Linked DNA regions of Macaca mulatta. The protein of the gene in region 4 interacts with the protein of the main gene of each other region in a pairwise test. Links are inferred from orthologs where the notes say so. Each region holds a gene or a part of one and is shown on either strand. Other genes may lie near its edges. The genes, in order: CRY1, CCER1, RGS3, PLSCR1, MVP and ESR2.

Region 1 (3,500 bases), on a different chromosome or scaffold from region 4:
AGCTGGGATTACAGGCGCCTGCCACCACATCCAGCTAATTTTTGTATTTTTAGTAGAGATGGGGTTTCACCATTTTGGCCAGGCTGGTCTTGAACTCCTGACCTCGTGATCCACCTGCCTCAGCCTCCCAAAGTGCTAGGATTACAGGCATGAGTTATCACGCCTGGCCTAAACACTTAATTTTATGCATAACACTGAGTCTCCCACCTAGAAGCAACTGTTTTTATCCTGTTTTGCCCCCTCCTTGCTATGAGCTCCCTAAAGTTAAGCAAATTGGTGAGCTCTAAGGCAAGATTATTATCAAAAGATACATGAATTCTAGCTTAGCATCAAGTAAGACCTTTGTGTGAATCAAATCATGATTTTTTGATACATTTAAAATGTGAAATCAAATCAACTAGTTTGTCATGTTACAGAATTTGTTTTACTAACTTGATAAAATCTATAAATTACTAAAAAAGTAAAATGATTTAAAAGGTAAATAAATTATAAGATTTCAGTACTTAAAAGGACAATGGTATGCCAAAAGTTTAAAAAGTTAACAAGTTTTATAGACCTCTAAGACTCATAGCATACAATACTCCCTAAATTTAAGTTTGACCACAGAATTTCTGTGGGACAAAGCATCACCAAGGACTGGTGTCTGAAGAAATACACTTTGAGAAATATTCTATTATGCTATTGTTCAGAGGACTACAGCTATGCAATGTTATATTACATCCAATTTGTATCTGGATTTAAAATCCAGATAGACAAGATAGATATACATGAAATAAGATAACATTAAACAAGCATACAAAATATGTCAAGGCAATTTATAACTATGTATAACTATAAAATTGATAATGCTAAGAGCCCAGAAAGGCAAGACCACAGGAGGCTGAGTTAAGAGTAGTCAAGGAAAATTCTGTAACAGTCTTAATCCATAATAGTTTTGAAATAGAAATGCTGAGACCTGTCATTAGGTCAATAGCGGCTAAATAAAATGCTAAGGATTTGACATATGTTCACTTAATTCTCCCAAAACTCTATGAAGTACACGCTATCATTTCTACTTCACAAACCTCAGTTAAAAACTTATCTATGTAGTTAATATCACTGAACTATATACTTAAAAATGGTTAAGATGGTAAATATTATGTTACATGCATTTTCTCACAGTAAAAAAAAAAAAAAAAAAACTCACTTGTCTAGGTCATACAATGTATGTGAAATTCTTACAATGACTTCTACTCCAGCTTCAGTTGCCAGTTTCTTAATAGCTGCATCTCGTTCCTTTCCAAAGGGCTCAGAATCATACTCAATTGAAAGTTTAGTAATGTTCCATTCCTAAAGTAACAGAAGGGGGAACAATGTACACCAATTTTAATAGTTATTTTTTCTATCATAACAAAAAGTGAAAAAGCTGAAAATCTACATATCAAATGATTATACATAAATCAAACTTTGAATATGCAGGAAAAAGTAAACAATTTATCAATTAAAAAATACGTAAGTAACAAATGCATAACCCATTAGATTCCAGGCTTTATGCTAGGCAACAGACAATCTAGCAAAGCAATATGCTTAAAACCAGCTCTTACACTAAATGTGTTTGTAGAACACTTTACTTTTTCAAATTACTCATACTTACATTATTTCATTCGAGCCTCAAAACAACACTCAGAGTTTGGCACTTTGGTTAGTATTTCCATTTTGGTTTATTTTTAAAACTTAGGGATTTGCCAGAGTTCACAGAGAGCCAGACCACCTGAATTTATGTCTGTTGAGTCTAAGACCTGATCTTTGACAAACTTTTGATAGTTGATATGGTATAAGCTGCCTGGCTGAGGTCGTGTGTGAGTGTGTGTGTGTGTGTGTGTGTGTGTGTAAATATTTTCTTTCTGATTACTAAAAAATGTTAACTGAAAAATTTGGAGATGGTAATAATAATAGCAGTTACTTATTATCAGGAGCTATATTAGTAAGTTCTGTACATCTCTTTACACTGATTTTAAATGAGGAAACTGTGACTTAAAGGAATTAGTTGATTTTTCTTAAGCATAATTTTTTTTTTTTAAATTCTAAGTCTATTCTGATTTATCTCATAAAGAAAAAGTTCTACCATTGTTTAACTGCCTATATGGTAACATACTATATAATTCACCAAACACCTCCTGATTAGACAAGGGCTGTTTCAATGGTGGGTTAAAAAAGACTGCTATTCTAGGCTGGGTGCGGTGGCTCAAAACTGTAATCCTAGCACTTTGGGAGGCTGAGGTGGGTGGATCACCTGAGGTCAGGAGTTCAAGACCAGTCTGGCCAACATGGTGAAACCCTATCTCTACTAAAAATAAAAACATTAGCTGGGTGTGGTGGCACATGCCTGTAATCTCCCAGCTACTGGGCAGGCTGAGGAAGTAGAATCACTTGAACCAGGAGGTGGAGGTTTCAGTGAGCTGAGATTGTGCCACCGCACTCCAACATGAGCGACAGGAGTGAGGCTCCATCTCAAAAAAAAAAAAAATTGCTATTATAAACTTTACAGTATATATCTTTACCTTTATGCATACATCTTACAAATTTTAGGGTATTTATCCAATTTTTTCCTAGAAATAATCCCTTGGAAAACAACTGATAGATCAAAGATAAGCACATTCAAAATTCTGATAGGCTGTCAAATTAAGGTACCCGAAAGACTGTACAAATTTACATTCCCATCAGCAGTGCACCTAAGTGCTTGATCTCCACACACTTGCCAATAATATGTATTAGCAATCATTTTTTGTTTTTTGTTTTTTAAGATGACGTCTCACTTTGTCACTCAGGCGGAAGTGCAGTGGCATGATCTCGGCTCACTGCAACCTCCGCCTCCCAGGTTCAAGCCTGCCTCAGCCTCCTGAGTAGCTGGGATTAAAGGCACACACCACCACAACTAGCTAATTTTTATATTTTCAGTAGAGATGGCGTTTCGCTACGTTGGCCAGGCTGGTTTCAAACTCCTGATATCCATCTACCTCGGCCTCCCAAAGTGCAGGAATTACAGGCGTGAGCCACCATGCCCAGCCAGTAATTGTTTTTAAATGTCTGCTAAACTACTAGGAAAAAAAATAGTATCTCATTAAAAATTTTTTCCGTTCTTAAAAGTCCTGAAGAGTGCACATCAAGAAATTAAGGGCTGTTGACTTTCAGGAATAAAATTTGAGTGTGTAAATAACTTTTACATTCTGCAGCATTGCTCAGATTTGTTAGTATAAACTTTCTATTTTTGAAATTTAAAAATAAAATTAAGATGAGAATAGAAAAGCATTCTATTTATTTGTTTTATAGTGAGGTGGTATAGAATAGTTTAAAAACACAGGATCTAATAAGTTAGACTTCCTAAGTTGAAAGACTGGCTCAACTACTTAGGCAAGCTGCTAAACTCTCCATACCTGTTTCCTAGTCTATAAAATGGGTAGAATAAGTAAGGTGCAGAGACAGTGCCTGACACATAATAAACCCTATGTAAGTATATGCTA
Region 2 (4,010 bases), on a different chromosome or scaffold from region 4:
ATATTCTGGAAATATGCTATGGATGGAACTTTTATCAACTGTCCAGGAAGAAATGTATTATTACTTCCTAAAAATGTTTGAACAAAAGCTATTATTTTGAATGATGTATTCTCCATAAGTAATTGCTGTTTAGACATCAGAAATCAGCTCACACAGACTCACGCTTACACATCTTTTACTCTCCTTTATAACAAAGACAAATTGAAAAATGAAGTAAGATATTCTACCCCCAAAAGGTCAATAATCTTTTTCTCTAAAAAAATCTATTCTGCAAAACATTTTTTATGGCTCCTCAGAACTTAGGATAAAGACTCTATCCAATAAAGAGGCTTCAAAACCTAAGCTATGTTCCATTGTTTGCAGTTACCTTGGACTTTAACTAGATGTGCAAGTTGACTTCTAACCATGGGGAATCCTCTCCATGACTGGATTATGGATTGTTGAGGCCATGGCAGATAACCAGTTCCACAGAAGCAACTTCATGTTTTTCTGAGGAAGATCCATAGCACTGTGGAACAAGGAATATCAATAAGCGATGCCACAAGAGACTGCAAATGGGGTTAACAAAATACAGCCCTCAAAAATGAACTCTGATGGTGGAAAAATCTACGAGGTAAAATATTGTTGAAAAAAAATACAGGGATTGAAAATGGCTTCAGTTATGTTAAGAGCACTGGTGAACATTCAGTAGCGTTAGAATGTGCTTTCTTATGCATGTAACAAACTATCTCTTCATGCCAAGCTCATTAAGTGGCTAAGTTGTATAAATTTGTTCAAAAACAAACGCTTTTCCAGCATTTATAGATTTAAAAAAAAAAAAACAGCAACTTTGTTTTCTAGTGGGGAAAACACCAGGTGAAAATATTCTAATGGTAGTAATAAAATACTTGGCCTTTAATCAGTTCCAGTAAAATTATATTTGAAAGCTCCCCCACCACCACCCATAGTCATACACATACGCATCAAATTTTAAGCATTTTATAATGGCCAAAGAAGGTGTTTACATCTGTTTATTAATGGAACTCACTTTTTAATCAGTTTTTAATAAATTGCTAATCCAGTTTAGCCTCAAATCAGTTCCATCCCTTTCCTCAATCCCTTTTCTGATGTCTAACAGTTAAAGTCCTGTGCAGTGAACAGGGATTCCTGTGGCACTTTGGGAATTATCTGCTCTGGGTTTAAAAAAGTGCAGCTTATAAAGTTCTCTCTCTTTTCTTCAGCCTCTACGAAGATTGATAAAGGCATTTCCAGAGGCAAATGAAATTCTTCCCCTCTCTGCTCGTTCTCCTCCAGGACCTCCTCTTCCCCTTCTACCTCCTCCTCCTCCTCCTCCTCCTCCTCCTCCTCCTCCTCCTCCTCCACATATTCAGCCTCTTCGACCTCTTCCTCCTCCTCATCTTCGACCTCTTCCTCTTCCTCATCTTCCACCTCTTCTTCCTCATCTTCGACCTCTTCTTCCTCATCTTCAACCTCTTCTTCCTCCTCCTCGCTCACCTCCTTTGCATCACACACCTCCTGGTCATACTCCTCCTCATCATCATTTTTCTTCTCCTCTTCCTCCACCAGCAACGGGGCAAGAGACTGGTTTTCCTCTGATTTAGGACTGAATGCTAGAGAGGGATTCTGCACAAAGCCATACAGAGCTTCCTGCAGTCCCCAGGTTTCCTCGCTGCCGCCAGGGGGCGCGTCGTTTCCGGAGGATCTGGCCGGGGAGGCCTCGCCGCTCACCGGGGCCTTCTGCGCCCTCAGCGCCTCCTGCTGACGCTCCAGCTTCTCCTGCTGCCGCATGTCCTCGTAGATCTGGTTCATGATGAATTGGGTGGTGTTGGGCGGCGCTCGCATGCCAGGCTCTCTCCACTCGTACAGCTTGACCGGCCGCGGCAGCGTGCTCACATTCGCTGGCGGGCTCCGCGGGGAGGAGCGGCGAGGGTGGTGGCGCAGGCCGCGACCCCTGCGGCCCCAGCGCTTCTTCCTGCCTGGGGGCCTCGCCCAGCTAGGGTTCCAGGACCCGTTCCAGCAGGAGCAGCAGCAAAAGCAGAGAGGGTGCAGGCCATACACCCGAAACACTTGCACTGGGCAATGGAACTTCCGGAATCCTGGAGGGGGTGGGCGCCAGGGCCCTCCCCAGCACCCCCAGTTAAAGCACACGGGTGGTTGGAACCAAAAGCCCGGGCCGTGCTGTTGCTTCGGCTGCTTCCTTGGGGGCCCATACTCGGTCTTGGGGCTATAGCGGTGCGGCCTATTGTACACTGGAGCGCCCTGGCGCCTTCGATGGCAGGACGACCAGGAGCTCAAGGAGGCCGAGTGTGCCCAGCCACCGCCGCCCAGGTTCAGAGGGTCTTCCCTTGTGTCGAGGGTCTGAGTCATCGTTCGGGGAGCTCTGAGAGGTCTAGATGGTAGCGACCCAGAAGCTGTCGTCAAGTTTTGCCAGATAGGACGGTCAGAAGAGCCTCGTCTCGTCACCCTGTCTCTCCACGCAGTGCCACGTGTCTACCCCTGGGATCACGTTTTCTCTCCAGGAGGCCGCTCTCTTCCTGGTTTGCGAGCTCTTCGGTAGTAATCGCTTGTCCTTCGCACCTGGGTTGTCTCACCCAGGTGTGCTGGGTGGGACTGGGGCTGGGCAAGGATGGTGGGGGAGGAAGGTGTTGGCAGGCGACACGCAGTGAGACCCACTCCCGGGTCCCCCCCACACCCGGCTCTGCTGAGGCACGGGCTGGGGCCGGGGGAGGCAGGGGTTGCGCAGTTACCTGCTGCTACCTCTCAACCCAGGTGCTTCACTGTCGCCGTCCTGGCAGGACTGGGGTGGCGAGGGCAGCGGCAGCCTTTAAATACTGGCTGTGGTCTCCCGCGTGCCCACCGCGTTCTTGGTCGCCCAGGGCAACAGCCAATTGGGGTCGAAATCGTCCTCCCTGTGTGCAAGACCGGGTTCTGGCTGGAACCAGGCTCTAGGTGAACATTCGCAGGGGGCTTGTGACGTAGCGTTTGGGGGAGGCGAAGAGGGGCTCAGGCTGGGTTTGTGCTGCTCAATTCAAGCACGTCTGGAGGCAGTTTATCCGAAAGCTTTGTGTCACCTTGAGGCAGGGGTTTAGAAGATGGGCCTTCATCTGAACCCGGTGGGGGCGGGAGAACTTGAGTTTTGAAAACCCCACATTCTACACCTTTGGAGGGTAAAATGACAAAGCCAGGGTAGGGATGCCTATTTTTACATCAAGCACAAGTGTCTTTACATGTACTATATCACCTCTTTTGTATTAATAGAAAATTAATGGAAAATTACTGGAGAAAGAAAACTTGGCCCAACCTCTTACTTTCTGGCCGGTGCCAACTCTTCTTACTCCGGGGAAATGGAATTCATAATACATAAAACAAGGCCACAAACATTTATTATTGCATGTGCTTCCTGACACATAATCCTGTCATCTACCCTGAGAGGTAGGCGTATCTTATCACCTGTCACAGATGAGGGAACTGAGGGGTTAATTTCCCCATGGTTGTGGGGCTAATACATTTTCGGGCTACTATTTAAGCCTAAGCCTGTTTGATGCTAAAGTTAGATTCTTAATGGCATTGCTGTATGTTCTACCAAACCATCAGTAGGACCCTTGTGATAACTAAATGACATGCATTTGGGAACGTACTTTGTTATCGGTAATATACCATACACATGTACCTCAATTAAACAAATACTATTATTACCAGGATGAATACCACAGGTTTGTCCTTGGGAAGAGGAATATTCAGATTGTTTTTCCTTTTGTCCCTTCACTGACCATACAGTCTGTACACAGGAAGCCTTTAAAGCACTGTGGTTAAGCATATGGGTTTTAATTTAAATAAATGGGGTTCAACTTCAACTCACCAATTATTTATCTCTGTAAGCCTCAGTTTCCTTACCCATACCACGATTATACTACCTTTTTTTTTTCTCAAATATATTTATTAAATTATCATGTATAACCAAAATAAGCTTATTTTTTTTTTCAAAGAAAATTTGGCATTACTTTTATTAT
Region 3 (4,224 bases), on a different chromosome or scaffold from region 4:
GGTGCAGGTAAGTCCATCTGTCATTGGCTTGAGGCTAGGAGAGTGGACCTGCTCTTGTTAAAGGCAGTGTTCACTGTGTGTGTGTGTAACTGGGGTTGGAGGGGGAGAGCGGGGTGGGGGGTACAGTAAAGAGCAGGGTAGGACTTCACGAAGTGCCAGGATTCAAACAATCCTATGGCATTTATGTGACTTATCACCAGTTTGCTGATTCAGGGCTCCTTCTCCAGTTTCTGTTCCTCACTGGTGGCCACCTGACCCTGTGGCGTTTGCTCTCTGCACCTGCTGTTGGCCATGGGGCAGATGTGGAGGCCAAGGAAGAATAGGACAATGGTGTTTAGGGCAGACAGGCCTGGGTTCAAATTTCAGCTGTGCCTATTCCTAGCTCTACAAACCTTGGGCATGTCACCTGTCTTCTCTGCCTGAGGTTCAGATTTCTTCCTGGTAAATTGGGGCTAATACTTATTAGACATACTGTGAAGATTAACTGAGATGATATGTGTAAATTGCCCAGCTCAGCCTCTGGCATCTGGTACTCAACACATAACTCTTCTCTCCACTTTCTCTCTTGCATCTCCCCATCTTGTTTTTGAGTGGATCACTGAACCACAAATATCCACTTGGCGATGAAGTCTGGGGAACAGGGACAAATACCAACACTTCCCATTTTTAGATTTACGAGACTAACAGCTTTCCTTCCCACAGTGGCAACAGTCAGAGATTTGCAGAGCAGATGTCTTGGTGTGAAACTGCTATCCGGAGGTGTCCTGTAAATGTTTGCCGACAAAGCAGCACAGGGGTTGACCTTCCAACTCTGCCTTACTGCAGCAGGCTGGGGGATTCACCCATCCCCTCTGTTTCCTGTGCCTTCCTCTTTCTCAGAGGCTGTAGGCCTGTCCTGCTGTCCGGTGGCATCAGGCTGTGGGATGGGGGGCCATCAGGTTGGTTGGAGCAAGCTGCTCCCATCTGGACCTGTGTCAGGCAGCACTTGTTCAAGAGGAGGCTCAAGAGAGTGATCCAGGACGCAGGGTTTGGGAAGAGGATGCAGCCTGGTGGGGGGCAACTTGTCCAAGCACAGAGAACACTTCTCCAAACCTCATTGCCCTGGACCATCGGGTGCTCCTTTGCCTTTGCTTGGATCTAATGATTATAGGTGTGAGCTTCAAAGCAGGTTATAAACCCGACTAATTGCTGGTCTAGGAGAGCTGGACCAGGAGGCCAAGCCTGCCCAGAGTAGAGTGGGCACCCCGGACTGGGGCTTCTCGTGGGACTGGCCCTTCAAACTGGGAGCGCGGTGCTGGGGCCGGGAGCCCCGGGGTGGCCGCACGGTCCTGCCAGCTCCTGGGGTGGCTGCCCTCTCTGCTCAGCGCGGGTCCGCGGCGCCGCCTCTCCCACCCCGGCCCTGCGCTGCTCTGGCAGGTGGAACTCTCCCCATTCAAACCCGCGCGGGCCAATCAGGGCCGGGCGCGCCCGGGCCGTTCCAACGCGCGGGGCAGCCCTGCCTCCCGCTCGCGCTCCTCCCGCGCTGGAGACTCCGGCGCAGGGGGCGGTGAGCCTGCTGCCTCGGTTACTGGGGAGCAACACAGCCGCCTTGGGTTTCAGGCACTCCTGTCCGAGTCGCAGTGGGACGCCATGGAGCGCTCCCTGCACCGCGTCTCCCTCGGGAGCCGGCGTGCCCACCCGGACTTGTCCTTCTACCTCACCACCTTTGGTAAGTGCCCGCTGGGGCCGGCGGCAGGGGCTGCCTCACCCTGTTCCCAGCGCCCGGAAATGCAGCCCCTCGTGGTGACAGGCGAGGCTGGGAGCAGGTGCTCTTTCTATCTGGGGTCACCTTCTCTGGCCCCTTTCTCCTGTGACTGCCCAGGAGGGGCTCAGGGCACAGGCTCAGTCCAAGCAAGCTGCTGGACACCACCTGCTGTCCGACCATGGGTGCCAACTGCAGTTGGTTCTGCCTCACTTGGCTGGAATAATCACACTCTAGTTAATCTTTCAGAGACCCAGGTTGTCACCACTGAGTTTCTCATTAGCAAGCAGCTCAGGTTAAATCAAGGTCTTGTTATAGCAACAGGAGATCTCATTCACCCACTTTCCTTTGGCTCAGGGAGCGGACAGGTGCTGGATCCTTTGGCTCTGCTGCCTTGCAGGCTCACCTTGGAGGCTGCAATCTGACTTTGTTGGGTATCTGAGCCACAGTAGAGATGGGAGAATTCTCTCCTCCAAGACAGAACAATCCCTTAGGAGGGTCCCAGGGCTGCCTCAGGGTTTGAGGTGGAAAGAAATGAACAGCAGGCCTCACTCCCAAGCCCCTAGGTAGCAGACTGAGTTTCCCCAAATAACAGCTGGGCGGCAGCTGCCCAAAGGCCTGGACAAACCTGTCCTTCCTGATAGCCATAGTAAAGGTAGCAACCCTACCCTAGAGGATAGCCCTTCATTTCCTCACTGGTCCTGCAACTCCCTGTGGAGAAGGGTTATTTTTCCTCTGTGAAGACTTGAAACTAAGAAGTCTTCCATGAGCCAGTGGCAGAGTTGGTAGCTGAGCTTAAACCTTCAAGAGATGACCCATCCAGCGCATTTTTGTTTGAACTTGCATACAATTTCCTTCTAAAGGTTGGGGCTGTTATTGCAACATAACTGGACATTGCCCAGCTTTCAAAGACAGACTGCCCAAGGAGTTGGTCCCTCCCTGGGGTTCCTGGCTGTTCTGCTTTCAGGCTTACTCCTGCCCAACACACTTGGTTTTCCACAACCTGCTTTTTTTCCCTAGGGGTAGAGGGAATGATGGAAGAGCAATGGCTTGGCCCCTTGAAATTGCCTGACGTCTGGCAGCAGGAATTCTCTGGTCCAGTTGGTGGAAGATAAAGGGCAATTAACTAGCCATCATTTGTTGAGCACTTACCATTGCCATTCCTTATGTCAAGTGTTTTACCTGCATTATCTCACTTAATGCCCCAGCCTAGGAGGCAATTCCTGCTAACCCCATTGGGATGCAGGGCTCTATGAGACAAGGGTGGTTTCCAGGATGATCTGTGTTGGCTGGGCTAGGAGTGGTCAGGAAAGGGTGTCAGGGAGCTGTGAGGCCCTCTTACCTTAGCTGTCTCCTGATTAAAAAGTAAAAATGTGTTTGCTTTTTTCCTCCTTATTATCATGGTAACATGTGTTTACTGCTGAAAACTTAGTTAAAAGAAGAAAGTGAAAATCACTTGTAATCTGACTTCCCAGGGAGACAGACCACTGTTAACTTTCTGATTTATATCCTTCCATGCTTATTTCCATACCTATTTCTCTCTCTGTGTGTGTGTGTATTTAGACATCAAATTTCAATACAATTGAGATCAAGTTTGTATGGACAATTTTGTAACCCATATGTTTTCCTTAGTGGCCTGATGTGAATATTTCCTTGCATTGGTCCATGTTCTTCTATTGGATTAATCTCCCTGCCAGATCTGGGAAGTTGGGGAGGATTCAGGCCCAGCAGGGAGTGGATCTTCCTGCCCAGCCATGGCCTCAGGGCTGAGTCCGATGGGTATCAGGGAAGGTTGCTGCTTGAAGAAGTGGCTGTGACCTGAGTGTGCAGGAGGCAGGCAGGAGCCTGGGTGGGGTGGGAAGCCACCTGCTTTTATTTGTGCAGGCTCCTCTCACATCTCTCTTGAGAGTATTTGAGAAATTCTCTCCTGTTTCCTGCACTGGTTGTGTTTCCCTGGGTGCCATTTGTCGTGGTGCCCCTCTTTCAGGCTGCTGATTTTCTTTATCCACTATGATCTTTGCTGATCTGCTTATGAGCAAAGATTCTTATCAGTGGTTTCCAAACCTGGCCAAATATCAGAAGCATGTGGGGAGCCTGTTAAAAAGACACAGATTCCTAGAATCTTCTTCCGGAGACTCTGGTTTAATAGGTCTGGGGTGGATCCTGAGAATATGAACATTTAAGAAGCCGCAGAGTGTTCTGACTGTCTGTCATCCAGGTTTGGAAGCTATGGATTCAGCGTCAGTTTTGTAGCCAGTGGGGACCACTTTTACTGTGAAGGTTTTGGCTAAGTTTTTCAGTCCGCTGGCCTTTCCTTAGCATAGTAGGTAGCCCCTGGCCTTATACAGTGAGCTTTGCCTTGGTAGAACCAGGTGAAGATGTTGCTTAGCTAGTAGTTTCCTGAACACAGACATGTAAAGGGAGCGTAATCATCTATGGAAATATAAAGAGACAAAACTGTTTTGATCTGAATTCCCTTTGGG
Region 4 (4,191 bases):
CCCAGGACTTCTACCTGTGAAGTTCCCTCTGTCTATAATGCCCTCCACCACTACACACACACACACACACACACACACACACACACACACACCCCCAGCCCAGGACTTCTACCTGTGAAGTTCCCTCTGTCTATAATGCCCTCCACCACTACACACACACACACACACACACACACACACACACACACACACCCCCAGCCCAGGACTTCTACCTGTGAAGTTCCCTCTGTCTATAATGCCCTCCACCACTACACACACACACACACACACACACACACACACACACACACACACACCCAGCCCAGGACTTCTACCTGTGAAGTTCCCTCTGTCTATAATGCCCTCCACCACTACACACACACACACACACACACACACACACACACACCCAGCCCAGGACTTCTACCTGTGAAGTTCCCTCTGTCTATAATGCCCTCCACCACTACACACACACACACACACACACACACACACACACACGTCTATAGACTAATTGATTTGAGACTTCCTTCAGCTCTCAATCTGACTCTCCTCAACACCCCCCACGCCACCACCCCAGCCTAAATAGAAGGCTGGCTATACCATCCAGGATTGTGTAAGTAAATTCTATGATGTTCTCACAACCACCAAATTGCCTCATGATGCATTTCTCAGAATGTATTCCTGTCTTTAAGCAACACATGATTATGTTGGACTTCCTAGTCTCCAGAACTGTAAGAAATAAATTTCTGTCCTTTATAAATTACCAAGTCTCAGGTATTCTGCTACAGCAGCAGACAACATATGGAGACATCATTTTTTTCTAATGACTTATTAAAAGAACATATGGAAAACTGAAGAGTGCAACTGTTAGTTCTGATTAACTAAAAAGTGTTTTGGCTTTTTAATTTAGCACTATTCAGGGTAGTGCTATAGAGTGTGTATATACACAGATACACATATATACATATAGAAATACTTCCTATATAAATATTCACTAAATATAAAGCTGGTGTGGTTTTTAAGGAATTAATTGAAGGCATAGAGCATGCAAAGCACTATACCAGGCACTAGAGCACAATACCTAGACACTAGGGAGACAGACAATTAAGAATGTAATAGATTATTATAAACACTCTAAGTGCTATCAATAAAATTAATGTTGCTACAAGAAAGGGTTACAGGACACTAACTTAAACAGTGGTAGGGGGTTTAAGAAAAGTCAGACTGGGAGCTGAAGGAAATCTCAAATCAACTAGTCTACGGAGGTATGGTGGGTGGGGTGTTGGAGGGCATTATAGAGACAGGGAACTTCATAGATAGAATTCCTGAGCTGGAGGAACATGCCTCATTCAAGGAAAGGAAGACCAGTGAGGTTACAGAGCAGAAGAGGGAGACATTCTTAGAGATGAAGACGGAGAGGTACATAAGCGTCTGCTCGCACACATTTGATGTCTCTCCACCTGTACTCTAAGCTCCTTTACAGATCTAAAGGCAGTTTGATCTATAAACCAGCTATTTCACATGCCACTTTGCTATCCAACTGCAGAAATCCATTCATTTCCCTTTATATGTCTTTCATTTCCCTGCATTTTCTCGTTGTTCAAAGCCCTACTATGGTTGTAAACAGGGTGGCATTAAGGGAAAAGTTTGCTCTTAGGAAAAGTTCAAGAAAGGAGGCCCCAAACTGCCTGACACGTTTAAGTGTCACTTGTAGTAACCATGTATCTCAATGTGATAAGCCAGAAAAAAAACAACGACTGCCTGTTCCTGGAACTGGGAAGTGGCCATGCCAAGACTTCCAGGAATAACAGTGCATGAATGAAACCACATGGGAACCGGAGAGTCAGCTTGGAGAAGCAGGAACTTTGTCAAATATTTAAAATAATAAAAGCTCACTTTCACTGAGTACTTTCTGTAGTGCCAGGCACTGCTCTAAGAACTTTACATTAACACATATAATACTCTGTAGCTCTTTTAATAGTTACACAATTTCAGAGATGAGGCAATGGAAAGAATATATATTAAGAAAGTGGCTGACAATCCACAGATGTGAAGCAGTAGAGGCCAAATTTCAAGTCGGGGAGCCTGACTGGAGCTAATGGTCTTAGGAACCGTGCTAGATACCGCCGCTATCTTTTCCAAGCTAGTATTGTAGAGGGTTTAGCATAGATGTGGGCTCCAGGCGGACTTCAGTGAATACTTACTGATAAATGCCAGCTTGCAGGCTGTATTAACCGTCCCTTCTAATAGCCCCACTATGCTGGCACATGCTCCCGAGCCCAGTCTCTGCCCAGGATTCAGCGCCGCTCTCTGCCTGTAGAGCAGTGTAGCTAAGGGGAAGCCGAGCCCCGCGAGGCGTTTTCAGGCAGGACACCCCTTTTCATTCGAATGATTCTGGGTGAGCCCAGGTGCCGCTGGGCCGCCTGGGGCCCCTTGCCGTGCATCTGCTCCACTTACAGGGTCCCTTTCAGAGGTCTCTTGCATTTCTGGCCCCAGCCTTCACCCCACATCCTCCACCCCCAGAGCAGCAAACACAACCGGCTGGCCCTCGCGCCCGTTCCCCGTAAGTTGGCCCCCACACCTGATCCCGGCCCTGGCCCCAGCGCAGGCTCCGCGCAGTTCTCGCGCCCGAGCCCCGGGGAGGCGGCAGAGAAAGCCGCTCGCGCACCTGTGGCTGCCGCTGTTTCCGCTCCCGAGAGAGCCGAGGTCTAGAGAGCCGGGGTCAGGCGGTGGCTTCCTCTCCTGCGCCTCTAGACTGCAAGGCACGGCTACTGCGCAACCTTCTCGGAAATCAGCCGGAACAGGGTCTGCGAGTAACCCTTGCGCCAACAGCCGCGGCTACTGGTTTAGTTTCCTGGATCTTACGTACACAACGCGGTTTCCTTTTCCTGGTTCCCGCGTTCGCGCCGGGGGACCCGCGGGACTATTGCAGGATGAAGAAGCTGGAGGAGGGACTGCACCCACCACCAGTTGTGAGGCCCCTCCCCTACCCCCGACTTGCTTTCTTGCTCATTGGAGAGACTCCAGAGACTTTTGACCGGTGGTTAAGGAGAGGAACTGGGACTCTGTCACTAACTGGAACTGGAAAGTCATCAGCTGGGGAGTGGCCTCCCCCGGGAACTTTCTTTACTCTGACTTTGACCTCCATCCCTCGGAAGCCCGTGGCTTTTCAACGCAAGGAAGCAGAGGCAGCTTAGACTACAAATGAGGAGTGGTCAAAATTGTTTTTTTTTATGGTGCCTTTTCTTTCTTGCTGTCTTGCTCTTTCTTTCCTTCTATTAAATTATGTGATATTATTTTTTATTTTTTTAGGCAGTTATTTAAATGTTTTTAAGAGCTCACCTTATTTTTTAATAAATATTGTTCCTTTTTAAACTAAAATAGTTTTTATTGTCTGTATTTAAGTTATGCGTATGACATATCCATCAACTCCTATAATTACACATTTCCCCCCTTGGGGCAAGAGCAGCTCTAATTTACTCATTTAGCATAAATCCTGAATACCACGATCATTAACTATAGCCCTCATGTTGTACATTAGGTCTTCCCATTTGTTCATCCTACATGTTTGTAACTTTGAATTCTTTGACCTAAATTTCCCCATATCTCCTGACCCTACTCCAACCTGGATGACCCTGGATAAACCGGTGGTCCCCAACCTTTTTGGCACCAGGGACCAGTTTCACGGAAGAGGATTTTTCCATGGACCAGGGTCGAGTGGCAGACGGTTTCAGGATGATTCAAGCATATTGTATGTATTGTGCACTTTATTTCTATTATTGTTACATTGTAATATATACTGATGCTGTCAGTGCAGACACATTTGATGACGTGGTGGCCTTCAATAATTGCTTCTATGTGTTCTTTGTGTTCATGTTTTCATGGTTTCTGTTTTTTTGTTTGTTTGTTTGTTTGTTTTAACAAAACAAAAAAACTCCAAAGGCTTGTCTTTTAACGCAGGGTGCTTGGTCTCCATGTGGCAAAGCAGTTTTGCAGGTTTCGAGGCTTCATTGCATAGTCGATCATCACATATTATACAAAGCAGGGTTGGAGAATGTGAACCACCTGTTGCAGTGAACCTGTAATTTAAGTAGGACTCTTGGCATTTTCCTTTAAATGTGGCTTTATTTTTGTTAGCAGTTTTAGAGTCTTCTGTTGTCTCATCATTGGGTTTTCCCCATTTTCAAAGAAGCTGTCCAGTAATGTTTG
Region 5 (4,086 bases), on a different chromosome or scaffold from region 4:
CGGGTTCAAACAATTCTCCTGCCTCAGCCTCCCGAGTAGCTGGGATTTACGGGCGCCCACCACCACGCCCAGCTAATTTTTTGTGTTGGCCAGGCTGGTCTCAAACTCCTGATCTCGTGATTCGTCCACCTTGGCCTCCCAAAGTGCTGGCATTAACAAGCGTGAGCCACCATGCCCGGCCTGCACTCTTCTTTGAACAGAATTCTGTTCTTGTCCTAGGGCCTTTACTCTTGCCATTCGCCTGTCTGGTGTCTCCCTGGTCTTCACATTACCTGTGCCTTCCTGTCATTCAGGATCTTTGCTGCTCACTCTCTCTGAGGTCCAACCCTGAACCTCAGGTCCTCCAAGACAGAGGCCTGGGAACCTGCATGTTTAACCAACTCCCCAAGTGATGAGTGAAGTCCAGGCAGGTCTGGTGCACACCACCTCCATCTCTTCCATGTATCTTACCTTCCCCTTCTCCAGGAAGCTCAGCCCGGAGCCAGAAACGGGAGGCCCGCCTGGACAAAGTGCTGTCGGACATGAAGAGACACAAGAAGCTGGAGGAGCAGATCCTTCGTACTGGGAGAGACCTCTTCAGCCTGGACTCGGAAGACCCCAGCCCTGCCAGCCCCCCACTCCGATCCTCCGGGAGTAGTCTCTTCCCTCGGCAGCGGAAGTACTGACTCCCACTGCTCCTGCCTCTAGGCTGCAGTGTCTGTACCTGCTGGGGCCTGGGCCCTCCTTCCCCAGCCCAGGCACTGAGAAACTTGGGAAGAAGAGAGAAACCTCAAGCTCCCAAACAGCACATTGCAGGAAAGAGGAAGAGAGAGTGTGAGTGTGTGTGTGTGTGTGTTTTCTATTGAACACCTGTAGAGTGTGTGAGCATGTGTGTGTGTGTGTTTTCTATTGAACACCTATTCGGAGACCTGGACTGAATTTTCTGAGTCTGAAATAAAAGATCCAGAGCTATCATCTCTTAAAAGGAGGGGCTGTAGCTGGAGCTCAACATTTAGGCCCCACTTCAAGGGAGAGGCAGAATTGTATTCACCCAGATTGGAAAATGAATGCCAGATGGGCAGAGGCGCACCTGCCCCATCTCGGGCCCTCCAACCCCTCCCAGTCCCACTCCAGTGCAGGCAGCTGGCTCCGAGGCAGAAACTCATGAGCACGCAGGGAGCAGTGCGCCCTCAGCTGCAGCAGAGGCAGCCCGGAGGATAAAATGAGAACCAGCTGCACGGGCTCTTTAACTCCCAAGCCCCACCCCTGGGCCTGGCCTGCCTTGCCCTGCTGGGAAGTGATCCCCTAGGCTGGGTGAGAGTTCCCCATCCAAGGCGTTGGTTGCAGCTAGCTGCACTTCTAGATGTGAGTACATTGTACTAGCCCCCCAAACCCCAAATCAGGGGCAGATCTTTGTATCCCTCGAGGCTCTCTTTATTCCTGTCTTGCTTTCAAGGGCCTTGCTTCTGCTGGGGCAGGGAAAACATGTCTGAATCAGAGCGGGGAAGGAGGATGGGCGGTGGCTTTGCTTTGGGAGGTTTCACTTTCCAATAGTTGGGGTTTTCTGGGTTTTGAAGTAAAGGCAGATTAACTCACCAACACCATCCCCCAGCCCCCTGCAACTCTCGGGCCCCTCTCTGACTTCAGGGTCCCACATGGGAAATCAGGTGGGGGACCTTACAGGGTCATTCAGACCCCATCTTAGTGCTAGATCGGTGCTTGCTCTACTTGCCTGCACTGTCCTGGGACCTGGGCTCTGACCTGTCCCCATTCAGGGCCCTTAACTATGACAGATAAGGTTTGTTTCTGCTCCACGCAGGGCTGGGCCAGCTGTTGGCCTCCGTCAGTCATTCAGGAAGTCATTAGAGTGATTTCCAGAAGGTGTAGAATTTAGTGGCCAAGGTTCTTTCCTTTTTGGGAGGAGAAAGTGAAAACTAGGATGCTCAGCTGGACCCACCAGCCTGAGATTCTGGGGAGCTTAGAGCTGTCCCTTGGGAGTGAAGCACTTGGGGGTGGGGGTGATAGCGAGGCTGATGGCCCCTGTGTTCTCAGCTCTCCGCCTGGGTGGCCCCTGGGTGATGGGGGAAAGGACAGCTGTCACGTGGGGTATCAGGTGGCTCTCAGAAACTCCCTTGGCACACAGCACTGGGTTGGCCCTGGGGTGTGGCTGTTTGGGCAAGACAGCCCTCTGTAGCCTTGAGCAGGTAGGGGGGCCACCTTGAGTGGGTGGCCCAGAGACAGCCTCAGGGCTCCAAGGTAACGGGGTGCTCAGGTTATCTTGGGTGCCGCCTTCCCAGGTTGTGGGGGAGCAGAGGCTGGGCGCTGGCTCAGCTTGTAGGAAACACTCACCTTTGAATTGCCATTGGCGCCATCTGGGCAGTACCCCGCCCCACCCAGGTCCTCTAGTCCTTATTCTTGGCTTAGAATCTTCCTGTTTCTGCCTGAGAAGCCACTGCCTCCTAGTTTGTGGTCTCTACAGTCATACCCAGATTAGACTTCCGGCTCCATCCTTTGATAACTGTGTCCTCTTGGGCAAGTTTTTTAACTTCCAGGTTCATTGTGAGGATAACATGAGTCAGAGGACACTTAACACTGCCTGGCACAGATTAAGCTCATTGGAAATGGGAGTTGTTACTGGGGGGCGTTTGCCTGGAACACAGGGAAAGAGGCTCTCTCCTGGAAACCTAGACCCAGTGGGTCAGAAGTGAGGCCTGCAAAAAGCAGCGGGAGCGGGATTAAGAATTCCAGCCCAGGGCTGGGTTTGGTGGCTCAGGCACCCAGCATTTTGGGAGGCCAGGGTGGGAGGATGGCTTGAGGCCAAGAGTTCCATGCCAGCCTGAGCAACATGAGACCCTTGTCTCTGTTTTGTGTGTGTGTGGTTTTTTGTTTTGTTTTGTTTTTAAAGAATTATAGCTCAGTTCTATGATTAGGCAAGTTTAGAAAATAATTAATGAAGATCGGGGTTCTGAAGCCTGGTTCCTGGGTCGCTTCTGATCTAGGAGGTTCTTGCCTCTGGTGACTGGTCTTAATTGGCAGGGGTGGGAGGAGGGAGGGAGGACAAGTGGAGGTCTGGGCTGGCTGAGCTGTTCTGTCTCCCCCTCACCTCCCAAAGGCCACCAGGCTGCTCCCCTTCCCACAAAGTGGCCCAGTTAGACTGGAGCTCACAAACAATTTCCTTGGGAAGAATCATTCCTAAAACTGTGCTGCTTAAAAACAAAAACAAAAAAAAAAGTGAGACAGATTCTCAATTTCCATTAATGGTCTCCTAAAGGGGGTAAACCAGGAAGCTGCTGGGTGAAAACAGGCTGCTGGCAGTTCCTGAGTCATGTGACCCATTCTCTAAAGACTACAATATTTAAATCAGTGAGAAACTCCGTGAAGTTGTGTCCTTGTTTATACCAAACTTCATGTGCCTTTTCCTGAACCTGAAGCTGTGGTAAGGTCTGGGGGCGGGGCCAGGTCACCGACCTCGCCTCCAACCTCAGGACGGCCTGGAGCAAGAGCCCTGGGGTTGGAGACAAAGGAGGCTGCTTGGACCTGGGTAAGGGAAGGGGCTGGAGGAGAATGAGTGCAATTCCCTGCCCTTGATGAGCAGCCTGCAATCGGAGCTGTGTTTTTGTTTTTGAGACAGTCTCTGCTCTGTCCCTCAGGTGGGAGTACGATGACGCAATCTCAGCTCACTACAATCTCTGCTCCTGGGTTCAAGCAATTCTCCTGCCTCAGCCTCCTGAGTAGCTGAGACTACAGGTGCCTGTCACCATGTACGGCTAATTTTTGTATTTTTAGTAGAGACGGGGTTTCACCATGTTGACCAGGCTGGTCTCGAACTCCTAAGCTCAGGCGATCCTCCTGCTTCGGCCTCCCAAAGTGCTGGGATTACAGCCACAGCGCCTGGCCTGGAACTGATCTTTATCCTCCTCCCAGTTCCTACTGTGCACCAGAAACCTTCCAGTCTCTAATACCTTTGACTTGAAGCAGTCACTTTTTTTCTTTTTTTTTTTTTTTTTTTGAGATGGCCTCACTCTTGCTCAGGCTAGAGTGCATTCCTGTGCTCCATTTATGGCTCACTGCAGCCTTGATCTCCCAGGCACAGGCAATCCTCCCACC
Region 6 (3,500 bases), on a different chromosome or scaffold from region 4:
TTGAGCGCCACATCAGCCCCACCATTAACACCTCCATCCAACAGCTCTCCAAGAGCCGCACTTGGTCGAACAGGCTGAGCTCCACAAAGCCTGGGGAAAGCAAGAGGCGGTGAGACACCCGCACCCTCCTCCTCAGCTACCTGTGTCTGTTGAGACAGAATGGCAAGTGTTAAAACACTAAGAAAACACAAACCATTAGGGAATCGATATTTTATAGATATGATTGACTACTCATTAAAGGAAGAAAACTTTGAAGTTAAGCTGCGTGACTCAGTTTCCAGTCTTGGACCCCTTCTAGAGACAAATATACTTCATTTAGAGTTTGTCAAGCGTGATGACCTGGGCTCAGAACTGATCTTGGTTAGCTGTGTCCTGATAATTCCTCTGCACTACTGAGAAGGTTGATGCTTGGTTGCCAGTCAGAGGAGCTGCCTGTCTGACCCAATCTTTGACTGGGATCAGAAGGGGTGGGGGAATGGGGTAGGTGGAGGTTGGGGTTGGAGGCTTGCAGACAGCAGTGTCAGCCCCCACAGAAAGCCAAGGCCTCAACTTCAAGGATTTCTCTGATTGCTTAAAATTTCCCATCCAGTGTTAAGATCCTTCCGGGTAGAAGCACTGTTTCTGGGCGATTCTATCCTAAGCAGCAAATATCGCCAAGCACAATGGCGCACACCTGTAATCCCAGCACTTTGGTTGGCCAAGGCGGGTGGATTGCCTGCACCCAGGAGTTTGAAACCAGCCTGGCCAACATGGAGAAACCCCATCTCTACAAAAAATTATCTGGTCATGGTGGCAGGTGCCTGTAGTCCCAGATACTCTGGAGGCTGAAGTGGGAGGATTGCTTGAGCCTGGGAGGTCGAGGCTGCAGCGAGCTGAGATTATGTCACTGCACTCCAGCCTGGGCAACAGAGCAAGATCCTGTCTAAATAAATAAATAAATAAAATAAAGAGCAAATATAATAACAAAGCAGGTCCTGACAACCTAATAACTCATGTTGGTCACAGTACTGTTTGGAAACAGGTAATCTCTGGGGAAGGAAGCACTTCAAAAGCAAAGCAGAGAACACCGGGGCTTCCTTCACAAGCCATGATAAAAGGAGACGGCCATTTAATATAAATATGGCAACAAAAGACACAGCCTTGGAGTGAAATGGACTCTGGTTTGAACTCCAGCTCAGCCTCTTTCTAGCTGGTCACTTAATCTCCCATTAAATCTTTGTTTTTCTTATAGGAAAATGGAGGTAACAATGCCTATCTCTGAGAATGTCCTATAGGCAAGATCTCTTATTCTTGTTTTACAGATGAGGAAACTATGGCAGAGAGAACATAAGTGTTCAAGTCTTTGAACAATTATAATGTAAATCTGTCTCAAGGAGAATGTAATGGTGTTATGAGTGTAAAGACGGATAAATACTTTCTAAATCCACATGCTTTGCTCAGTTTAGGTTCCTAATATGTATACACCTTCCCAATCTCACCCACAGTAATAGACAATAAGCCTACCCAAGAGATCATGGCTCTTAACCTTGTAGATATTCAACAAGATCAAGGCTAGATGATATTTTAATTTTTTTTTTTTTTTTTGGGTTTGGACAATGACCATGCCAGGTAAGAGAGGGGGAAAAATCACACCTCCAGACTATGCCTACGTTTCCTGAAAACTTTTCAAAACACCAGGCTTGAATAAGGAATAACGCAGTTTAAGAGTTCAGATTTCTTATGGCACAAAGAAGGGGCACAGCTTTCAGCAATAATTAATTTCATCACTGCTCTCCGTGTGTGGTCCTGCGAAATCGTGTTTGGAATACACTTAAAGCAAAAACTAGAGGAAAGTGCATCAGGATTGCCTCCTCCAGGAAAAAGCAGAGAAAAAAAATAATTCTGGCAAAGGTGAAGATGATAGACAAAACAAAATACAACTCGAAACCAAAAATCCTCAGCAAGCTCAGAAGAAATGGGCCCAGTTCAACAAAAGTCCCCAAATGATACTGTCACCGTAGGCCTCAGTTCCCTGGGCTCTTTACCCGAAACTTCTCTTCCCCCAGCTTCTCGCCCCTCCTCATCTTTACAGCTTGCCCAGTGCAGTCGTTGCCCTCCAGGCCATGGGAACGCCCCCAGTGGCTCAGAACTTGTAAGAGGCTTCATTTCTTCAAGGACTGTAAAGAAGGGCATGGAGAACCTTTCACAGGGGGATTGTGGGATGTTGCCATTTTAGGTTAGAATCCTAGATTCACTCTTTCACAGAAACACCACGTCAAATGATAATTAGCTGGTAATTTCAGCATCATACAGCACTTCAGGTCTGTATTACAAATGGGCTTGGGAGAAGTGATCACTTTAGAGGATGGAAAATGCAGGTTCCAAATGATAACTCATGAGTAACTAAGCTCATTTTTAACTTGATGGCATTCCAAGTTTATGGGCCCACTGATGATTCGTGTAACTTCAACCACTGATTTACTCTCTTTGTCCATACATATTCATTTGTGTATATAATACTGATTCTCTATTGGAACAATAATTTACAAAATTCTATTTAGCATCTGACAAACCTTTCACTTTCAAACTAGTCATACTGTACTCTACCCCACCCTACCCAACCATGCCCCTCCTCTCAAGGTGAGGAATCCAGAGCCAAGAAATGGGGCAATGTAGAGTCTACCTTTTAACCACGTTCCAGGTTCCAGAACTCTAGGATTTCTTGCCCAAATGACCCCAAGCCCAGTTCCAGAGTCTGGGTGGGTTCCCTGGGTCCATCCTCCCAGACCACCTCTAGGCATGAGAGGGGGCCAACAGGTGAGTGTCTGTAGCAGATGTGGACACACAGGATAGGGTTTGTGCCAGGTAGTATGGGAAGCATCTAGCCACAGGAAAAGAAGAGAGTCAAGAATAGAAATGGCTGGGCCACGCACAACTCTTTCTTCACTACCATGTTGGGTACAGAACTCAGAGTCGTCTCAGAATTCTAAATCAGAACGTGGCCTTGTTGAAGGTAGCTATGCCAAGACGGGAGGAAGGAACATATTGCACTCAAAAGTTACAAATCCAGCTGAGAAACCGTTAAATATCTAGGCACAGCTCACAGACCTCTACTTTATACTCTTGTCCTTTAAATATTAGCAGCAGGCCTTTCTACAAGTACACGGAAAACTAATAGCCCGAAAGCCCTACCGGGAATCTTCTTGGCCCAGCTGATCATGTGTACCAACTCCTTGTCGGCCAGCTTGGTCAGGGACATCATCATGGAGGCCTCAGTGAAGGGCGCGCTGGGGCGGCTGATCAGTACATGGGGTGGCTCAGCCTCCAGGAGGGTGAGCACCAGCTGCTCGGGGCTCAGGGCGTCCAGCAGCAGCTCCCGCACTAGGGGCGCGTGGCTACCACTCCTCTTGGCCTTGCTGGCACAGTGCAGTTGCTCGTCGGCACTTCTCTGTCTCCGCACAAGGCGGTACCCACATCTCTCTCTCCGGGAGCCTGAAAAGGAAAGCAGGGTCATTCAAATT

Evidence for each region.
Region 1: the proteins of PLSCR1 (region 4) and CRY1 interact in a two-hybrid assay, tested with the Homo sapiens proteins (2 studies listed by BioGRID and IntAct). The link is inferred for Macaca mulatta from reciprocal best matches to the Homo sapiens genes PLSCR1 and CRY1.
Region 2: the proteins of PLSCR1 (region 4) and CCER1 interact in a two-hybrid assay, tested with the Homo sapiens proteins (2 studies listed by BioGRID and IntAct). The two-hybrid records come from large-scale screens. The link is inferred for Macaca mulatta from reciprocal best matches to the Homo sapiens genes PLSCR1 and CCER1.
Region 3: the proteins of PLSCR1 (region 4) and RGS3 interact in binary tests that used the Homo sapiens proteins (3 or more experiments, as listed by UniProt). The two-hybrid records come from large-scale screens. The link is inferred for Macaca mulatta from reciprocal best matches to the Homo sapiens genes PLSCR1 and RGS3.
Region 5: the proteins of PLSCR1 (region 4) and MVP interact in a two-hybrid assay, tested with the Homo sapiens proteins (2 studies listed by BioGRID and IntAct). The link is inferred for Macaca mulatta from reciprocal best matches to the Homo sapiens genes PLSCR1 and MVP.
Region 6: the proteins of PLSCR1 (region 4) and ESR2 interact in binary tests that used the Homo sapiens proteins (3 or more experiments, as listed by UniProt). The link is inferred for Macaca mulatta from reciprocal best matches to the Homo sapiens genes PLSCR1 and ESR2.

The regions. Positions count from the first base shown.
Region 1 is NC_133416.1:114,206,172-114,209,671, forward strand, and holds part of CRY1 (cryptochrome-1), read right to left. Parts: intron 1,330-3,500; coding exon 1,187-1,329; intron 1-1,186.
Region 2 is NC_133416.1:98,241,613-98,245,622, forward strand, and holds the start of CCER1 (coiled-coil domain-containing glutamate-rich protein 1), read right to left. Parts: upstream 2,801-4,010; 5' UTR 2,368-2,800; coding exon 1,450-2,367; intron 1,405-1,449; coding exon 1,111-1,404; 3' UTR 1-1,110. UniProt on the Homo sapiens protein: Regulator of histone epigenetic modifications and chromatin compaction into the sperm head, required for histone-to-protamine (HTP) transition.
Region 3 is NC_133420.1:44,857,290-44,861,513, reverse strand, and holds the start of RGS3 (regulator of G-protein signaling 3), read left to right. Parts: upstream 1-1,424; 5' UTR 1,425-1,629; coding exon 1,630-1,708; intron 1,709-4,224. UniProt on the Homo sapiens protein: Down-regulates signaling from heterotrimeric G-proteins by increasing the GTPase activity of the alpha subunits, thereby driving them into their inactive GDP-bound form.
Region 4 is NC_133407.1:49,526,796-49,530,986, forward strand, and holds the start of PLSCR1 (phospholipid scramblase 1), read right to left. Parts: upstream 2,801-4,191; 5' UTR 2,651-2,800; intron 1-2,650. UniProt on the Homo sapiens protein: Catalyzes calcium-induced ATP-independent rapid bidirectional and non-specific movement of phospholipids (lipid scrambling or lipid flip-flop) between the inner and outer leaflet of the plasma membrane resulting in collapse of the phospholipid asymmetry which leads to phosphatidylserine externalization on the cell surface.
Region 5 is NC_133425.1:28,746,393-28,750,478, reverse strand, and holds the start of MVP (major vault protein), read left to right. Parts: upstream 1-1,286; 5' UTR 1,287-1,344; exon of another isoform or gene 1,345-2,734; intron 2,735-3,959; exon of another isoform or gene 3,960-4,086. UniProt on the Homo sapiens protein: Required for normal vault structure. Vaults are multi-subunit structures that may act as scaffolds for proteins involved in signal transduction. Vaults may also play a role in nucleo-cytoplasmic transport.
Region 6 is NC_133412.1:137,370,590-137,374,089, forward strand, and holds part of ESR2 (estrogen receptor beta), read right to left. Parts: intron 3,472-3,500; coding exon 3,172-3,471; intron 91-3,171; coding exon 1-90.